2 linked regions of the Oryctolagus cuniculus genome follow. The protein of the gene in region 1 interacts with the protein of each later gene in a biochemical or structural test. Links are inferred from orthologs where the notes say so. Each region holds a gene or a part of one and is shown on either strand. Other genes may lie near its edges. The genes, in order: RC3H2 and KLHL6.

The links.
Region 2: the proteins of RC3H2 (region 1) and KLHL6 form a complex in vitro, tested with the Homo sapiens proteins (2 studies listed by BioGRID, with this or other methods). The link is inferred for Oryctolagus cuniculus from reciprocal best matches to the Homo sapiens genes RC3H2 and KLHL6.

The regions. Positions count from the first base shown.
Region 1 is NC_091432.1:226,889,596-226,893,508, forward strand, and holds the start of RC3H2 (roquin-2), read right to left. Parts: upstream 2,790-3,913; 5' UTR 2,392-2,789; intron 2,227-2,391; exon of another isoform or gene 2,202-2,226; intron 1-2,201. UniProt on the Homo sapiens protein: Post-transcriptional repressor of mRNAs containing a conserved stem loop motif, called constitutive decay element (CDE), which is often located in the 3'-UTR, as in HMGXB3, ICOS, IER3, NFKBID, NFKBIZ, PPP1R10, TNF and in many more mRNAs.
Region 2 is NC_091435.1:93,143,948-93,147,860, forward strand, and holds the start of KLHL6 (kelch-like protein 6), read right to left. Parts: upstream 2,323-3,913; 5' UTR 2,116-2,322; coding exon 1,826-2,115; intron 1-1,825. UniProt on the Homo sapiens protein: Involved in B-lymphocyte antigen receptor signaling and germinal center formation.

The sequences.
Region 1 (3,913 bases):
AAATTTTCTTACAGTAAAGTTAAAATAGAAAATAGATGAAATAACATATTTTCGTTAATCCAATTTAATCAAAATATCATCTCAACATGTAACCAAAATAAAAATTGATATAAAAGTTGCTTTGTACTAAGTCTTCAAACTCTGGTGTATATTTTGCACTTACAGCATATCTGGATTCACACTAGCAACATTTCAAGTCTTCAACTGCCACACATGGCTATTTGCTAACATTGGACAGTGCAACAGTAGAGTACTTAAGAATATAAAGTAATGGGGTGAGAAGTGTCACTATGTTCTGAAAACTCTATGTATGAGATAAATGAACTTTGTTCCACTTATACAAATAAAAAATGTAATTAAGAATATAAAGTAATACACAATACAAATTCTTAAGAATTTTGAGGTAAAACACACTTAAGAAGGCTGTCAAATTAGAAGAACCTGGTCATAATCACAAAACTTACAATATTCATTGAAACTGGGTGCAAAATATAAATTTATTTTTAACGTTCAGATAGCTTTTTTTTGACTAAGTTTCCCTGTTCTATCACTAGAAAGTTAAACTCCAATCTATCTCAACCAACATGATAAGCAATTACTTATTTTGACCTTGTTGTTATTTAGCATTGTTAGCTGTTGCATATAATAGAGAAGTTCTGTTTTTGAATATAAAGTTCTGAATGTAAAGGCAAATGCACTGCCGAAAGAACTTCTGTTGACTAGTTTCAAACTACAAGACAGCAAATCAGAAAAGCAGAAAGTGAATTAATGAAAACATGAACAAAGGATGTCAGTCTTCCTGTCAGGTTAACACAATACCACATCAGAAGTGACTGAAAAGGATCCACTCGTGGACACCACTGCAGTGAAATTCTCACAGAATAAAAACTTGGTTGAACAATAACATTTGATCATCTAAACATGACTAATATATGCTTAACATTTTGTGCTTCTAGCCATTTTTCAAACTCCCAAATGTGGAAAACACTCATCTCATCTCCAAATCAACAAAAATGGAAACGTTGAAAAACAATCTTTAACAGGATGTAATGGCTCTGTTTCTTCAAGCAATGAATGTGGAAGTAAACAATATGAAGGCAGGGACCTGAGGTTAGCAGAGTGGTGTAGCTCTTCAACCAGATAAAAGAGGACAAGAGAATCCACACACCATTCTCAACGATTCAGAAAGTCTTAACTAAGTCTATACATTGAACCATAATATGCACCATCTAAGTAAAACATGCTTTCTTTTGTTTTCCGGTAAAATTCTATCGCTTTGGTGTAGCAACATTAGCTTTCTCCACCTGATCAAAAAGTTCTTATTGGAACTTTGACCACCACCACCTCCGCCCCCCCCCCCCCCAAAAAAACAAAACTGAAAAAGATTGCTTAGATTGCTTAAGCACTTCACTGGGAACACAAAATCATTCTCATCCCAGGGGGTGGCGGAGAGCAGCAGAAATTAAAAACAAGGGAACTGATGAGGATGACGAGTAGGAATCAGGGAAGAAGGGGAGCCAGGTAGTTATGGAAATACAACACGGGCTGGGAACCACTGGGTTCGCTGCACTTTGTCAGTGAGGACGGGAGACTATTGTGGTGTGCAGGTCGCATCCGCCGGGGCCTGACCCCCTTCCCCTGGGATCCGAAGGGTGGAAATGACAGCTCCTTCCTTCCTGGGCGCTCAGCGCAGGGAAAAGTAGAGCTGGTAGCCTGAGAAACAAAGATGCTTTCTACCATTCTTCTAAGATGGTGGAAGAAGCTCCTCAAGAGGCTTCCCCAAGAAGGAGAAGGCAAAGAGGGAGAGCAGAAAGCCAGGGCAGGGCCGCCTGGCTGTGTTCGTGCCACTGCTCCAGTCACATCCCCCGAGCGAGCAGCCGCTCCGGGCCGGCCGTCTCCCCCGGGGACGGGGCGCCGCTCTCCCGGGGCATTGTCTGGCCGGGGTCCCTAGCTGCCACTCCGATCGCCTCCACCATCCCTGCGGCCAGGGTCTCTAGCAGCCCCGGGGCGGAAAGCCCGAAAGCTAAGAGAAGACTTCGTTCCGAGGACCAAAGCCTCTCTCCCCGGCCGGTGCAGAGCGCGGAGAGGGAAGCCTGGCCTTGGCTCGGGTGGGTTCCGCGGGGGTCAGAGGCGGCCCCTCGGCCAGTGTCGAAGGAAGGTGGCCATTGGAGCCAGTCGCTCCGCATCGAAAACAGCCCTACCCGACAGAGGGGCCTCCCTAGGCCGCGGGTTCCGTCCGAGTGTCAGGTGCGGCCCTCAGGTCCCCAGCCCTCGGGGCGCCGGCGGCGACAGCGCACAGGCCTCCCGGCAGGGACGAGGCTCCCGGCCCGGCAGCGGGGAACCGGGCACCCGGTCCGGGGCCCGAGCCGCATCGTGCCCGCCCCGCCCTACCTGAGGGGGCCCGGGCGGGGTCGCTAAGGGCCGCTCCCGGGAGCCCCGCGACGGCGCGGCTCGGCGACGGAGGCGCCTCGTCTCGCCGGGGCAGAGCTCGGCGGCGGTTTCACGGCCTCAAACTCCATCGGGAGCTACAGGGACAGCCCCGTTGGCGGCGGCGAAGGCCGCGACGGGGCCTCCTCCTCCTCCTCCCTCCGCCTCCTCCTTTTTCTCCTCCTCCTCCTCACCACGGAGGCGGACCTGGAGGGATCCCGACCCAGATCTCGCGAGAAGATACTCCCAAGATCACGCGAGATTACGCAAGCCCGGGAGTTGGGGAGGTGGAAGGAAAACGTAGTAATCCCCGCCACCTAAACTGCGCATCGTTTGTCTCCGGTCGGGCGGATCCGCCTCCATCACGTGAGGAGGGAGCCGTGGAGCATTGTGGGAGGCGCTGTGAGGAGGACTAGGCAAACCGAAAGGGTTGATGGGAAACTCCCTGCACGTTCATCTGCACCTCGAGCGAGTGTCTGCGCCCATCGTGCAAAGAGGCGCTGTTAGGAAGAGTCAGATGTATCTGTTGCGATCTACTTCCCTCTGCCTTCATGAAATGTTGGCGAGATCCCACAGGCCCTCTACACAGATGTCAAGTAATCTCCCAAGGGCAAAATCCTAAGTAAAACAGAACAAGCGTCTGCTCCGGAGGCCCTTCCACATCCCTGTCTCTTTATTGAAGGGAAACTTCTAATCTCAACAGCTAACAAAGATAAACATTTAACCACAAATTCTATCCATGTATCTAAATATTTGTTGAGGGATTTTTCACAGCATACTAGCAGGCAGGAATCACACCGTCGCCACAGATGAAGAATCAGCCTGGGAGTAGGGATGAAGGGAGTAGGGATGAAGCCACTTGGTATATGTTTTATTTTAATATTCTATTTCATTTAGTTCTCAAAATAACCCAAAGGGCAGATTGTGTGTGTCCTTTGTTACTGATAAGAAACTCAACCGCACAGGTTAACGACCATGACTTCTAATAAAACTCAAAACCTTCCGATGTGAAATCAGAAATCCACCACGAATTAAAAGTTGTAAAAATAACTTATGAACTATAATAAACTTTTAAAATGAGGTTATTACTGCCTGCATGGCAAGCAAAGATGTAGTTTTGGAGATTCAGGCTTTTCTTACGCATTGCTATCTTTTTCATTCTCTTCTGTGAACTATATGCAAATCTAAGAGAAACATCATCCCACTGTCCAATCAACTGAGACAAGCACATATTATAGACTCGGTATTTCTTAAAATCAATGATTAAAATAATAGCGGGGGGGAGGGGCGGCCAGCGTTGTGGCATAGCAGGTAAAGATGCCACCAACAATACCAGTATCCAATATGGGTGCCTATTCTAGTCCTGTGTGCTCCACTTCCTACCCAGCTCCCTATTAATGACCTGGGAAAAGCAATGGAAAATGGCCCAAGTGTTGGCGCCCCTGCCACCAATATGGGAGACCCAGGTGAAGCTCTTGACTTCTGC
Region 2 (3,913 bases), on another chromosome or scaffold:
ATGACAGCCGTTCTCCAGGGCTTCCAAACAGAAAGAACAAACCTAAAAGTGAATGCCCAGGACACTGAGCTAAACTGACTTTCATTCACTCTTGAAATGGGCTGTGATCAATGGGAAAGCACACGATTGATAATGGTGGAACAGGGGCCGGCGCTGTGGCAATAGGCTAGGCCTCCGCCTGTGGCACGGGCATCCCATATGGGCGCCAGTTCATGTCCGGCTGCTCCTCTTCCAGTCCAGCTCCCTTCTATGACCTGAGAAAGCAGTAGAAGATGGCCCAAGTCCTTGGACCCCTGCACCAGCGTGGAAGACCGGGAAGAAGCTCCTGGGTCCTGGCTTCTGATCAGCTCAGCTCTGGCCGTTGGGGAGTAAACCAGCAGATGGAAAAACCTCTCTCTCTGTCTCTGTCTCTGTCTCTATCTCTGTCTCCCTCTCTCTAACTCTACCTCTCTAATAAATAAATAATGGTGGAATGAGTATAGCATTTTACCTTTGTCAACCATTTTTTGGTGATGCTTACACTTTAGCTTTTATGGAATGAAACCCCAAACTTAGTGGCAGTTTCTATTTTTTTACATTTTTCTACAGTTAAAACAAGGATTTCTAGAATGTTTTCTAACTCTGCTCCCAGATATATAATGTAGTGTTTCCATTTCCCCATCTGTTAAAGGGGTGTCAGCCACCTGCAATGCGCTGTGGCAAAAATAAAATCAGATAACTGTGTCTGTCCAGCATGTGGCAGGAACTACTTCCCTCAAACTCAGATATCCCCTCGCCTCGACAACACAGGAACCCACAACCCTCGCTGACCCAGTTATCTGAATTCCAGAGAAGTGAAAAAAGAAAACACCTTCCATGTCAAAGGAGTCCATTTCCTTGGCCAGAATTCTAGCCTTAAGAAGAATGATAAAGGGTATTGAGTGTTCACTTCTGCAAAACACTCGCTTCATCTGCATTACCCTGAGGACTGGTCCCCCTCGTGTCCACAGTGATCCAGCGAACCCAGATCCAGCCACATTCACCGGGTTCCTGATTCTCCCATGTTCCCACCCCAGGGATGTGCTAGTGGTAAACACTCAGTAAATGGATTTTTAGCAGAACTGAGCAGAATCAGGGGCAAAATTTCAACACAGATATATGGAGCATCTACGATGTGCCAGGAGCTATGTAAGACCCTTTTCACTCTCACATTTAATTATCACACAGACCTGGGAGGAAAGCATCACTGACCCCCTTTTAGGTGACAAAACAGAAAATTCAGTGCATTGTCAGGAAAGGGCAAAGTGAGACAGAAGCCCGGGCTCCTGCCTCCAGGTCTGCCCGTGTGAAACCGCCATTCTGTTGTAATGAGGGGCCTCTTGCATCTAAAGCACCTAAGGGCTCTTCCTGCCCCCCTCCCCAGCCCCTGCACACACACGGAGTCTCTGCTGTTCAGTGAGTCTCTTGATAATCCCAAAAGGGACCACATCCTTTTTCTCCACCTTTGTTGATCAGCACAGACAATACCATGTTTCCAGCACATTAGTCAGACCGAGGGGAGAAAAATCCCCATGACTTAAGTCATTTTCCATCCTTTGGAACAAGGACAGATACATAAAAGACTCGCCATAATATATAAACATTGCTTTTAAAGGATGGTAATCTCTTTCAAAGTGGCTTAAATCCTAAAATCCAAGATTCCATTATTTCCTTGCTTATACTGTAGCTAAGCAGACCTTAATAGATAATAAATGCAAGAAGCAACAAGTTAGATCAGGCTCTCACGTCCGCACAGACATTTCTCGCAACCTGCACCCAGTCTGACCCTGGTCCTAGGCATGCTGACCTGAAATAGTTGCTGGCAGCGGCAAGCACCACGCGGTGGCAGGAGAATTCCTGGATGTCCACACACAGGATGACATCCGTCAGAGCGTTTTCCACCCGGAGGGTCTCCAGGCCATTCTGAAGAATTAAGGAGAGTCCCGTGTCATCAAACTTAACCTTATCCCCATTTAAGACTTCCACCAAGTCTCCCCTCTTCTGAGAGGACTCATCCGCAGAAGGCGCCAAGGGCTCTTCTAAACTCTTCTCCACCGCGTTGTCGCTCATGGTCCAGGCGCCCGTTTGTCCTGCCATCAACACCAGACTGAAGGAGCACCCAAGCTTCAGGCAGGTCACAATGCAGAAGCTGGGCGGATTTCCTGTGCAGGGCCCTCCACTTATCACCAGCTGTCACACACACATAACAGGAAGTCTCGTACTTTCTCATCCTGTTACTACAAACGCCAGCAACTTCTATTCTTCTTCCTTCTGTGAATGATCCCGGGTTAGATATTACTTAGGGTGGGTGTGTGGGAGGGGCTCTGGGAGAGAAAGGGTGGCTTCTCAGAGTCTCCTGCCAACCCCGTGTGGTTATTTTGGTCCATCTCCCACCCCGTATCCGTGAACAGGAAGCCTCTGGTTCTGGTTAAGACATTTGTGCTCCTGGGGCTTCAACACACACATTGCTGAGGATGAGATGGGTGTGTAGCCTGCCGCAGTCCTCACTGCCTCCTTGCAGGAGTCTGAGAGCCCAAGATGAGCCCCTACCCTATCCCCTGGGAACCTTAGAAACCCCACCTCACCCCACCCCCTTGTCCCCAACTCATTTCTGTGGGCACTGCACAAATTCTATCTTCATCTTCCTCCCTGCTCAGGCGGAGGCAACACCAGAGCAAACATTAATGTTCCCCACCACCTCCTCTCCAAAAAATGTCTCCTGTTTCTTTCTTTTTTTTTTTTTTTTTTTTTTTTTTTTTTGACAGGCAGAGTGGACAGTGAGAGAGAGAGAGACAGAGAGAAAGGTCTTCCTTTGCCCTTGGTTCACCCTCCAATGGCCGCCGCGGAGGCGCGCTGCGGCCGGCGCACTGCGCTGATCCGATGGCAGGAGCCAGGTGCTTCTCCTGGTCTCCCATGGGGTGCAGGGCCCAAGGACCTGGGCCATCCTCCACTGCACTCTCTGGCCACAGCAGAGAGCTGGCCTGGAAGAGGGGCAACCGGGACAGAATCCGGCGCCCTGACCGGGACTAGAACCCGGTGTGCCGGCGCCGCAAGGCGGAGGATTAGCCTAGTGAGCCGCGGCGCCGGCGTCTCCTGTTTCTAATATCCTTCTGGGGCAGAGAAGAAATGGTTTCCTAAAACTCCACCCTCAGGGTGTCTTCTCCTGGAGACCAGTTAGGGTAGATCAACATCCAACTGCCCCAGCAAGTCTCAAATTGGCCTGATCTGCCACAGCACCTCCTGACCACGCATGGTGGATGGACATATACATATACATAGACAAGCTCCTTGGTGGATCATGACCTCTGCTGGCCTCAGCTAGTTAGCAATAACTGTCATTTATAAAAATCCCACTATGTCCTGGGAGTTAATGTATTTTGATCTTTATGGTGACCAAATGGCTATACTCATTTTATGGCTAAGAGAACTGAAGCTGTGCTCAAATGAGTGGCAGGGCCCTATTATGCTGGGCTGTGAAGCCCTTTGTGTTCCCCACTATCATCAGGTACCTGGTGGGAATATCACTACAGCCCCAATTCTTGTGTTTCTCACAGAAGGAAAGTGCAGGGGTTGCCTCCCATGGCTGGACCAGTCCCTCAGGCCTCACCAAGTAGCCTCCCCTGTCACATCTGCTCTCACTGGCCTCCTACCTGTTGGCAGTACCGCAGTCCTCCTGCTCAGAGAGTCCCAGATCTTTCCTCCGTTCCGGCTAGTGGTGATGGAGCCTTCCCCAGGAGTTTCGGTCTGTTCAGCTCTTCTCATCTTCCATGGATCTGTACTCCTAAAATCAGGGTCATTAATATTCCCCCCAAACTTGTTCTTTACTTAGATCTCTACCCATCAAGATGCTTTTTGGCTTCAATAACAGAATATCCCATCAGAAGCGGTTTGAACA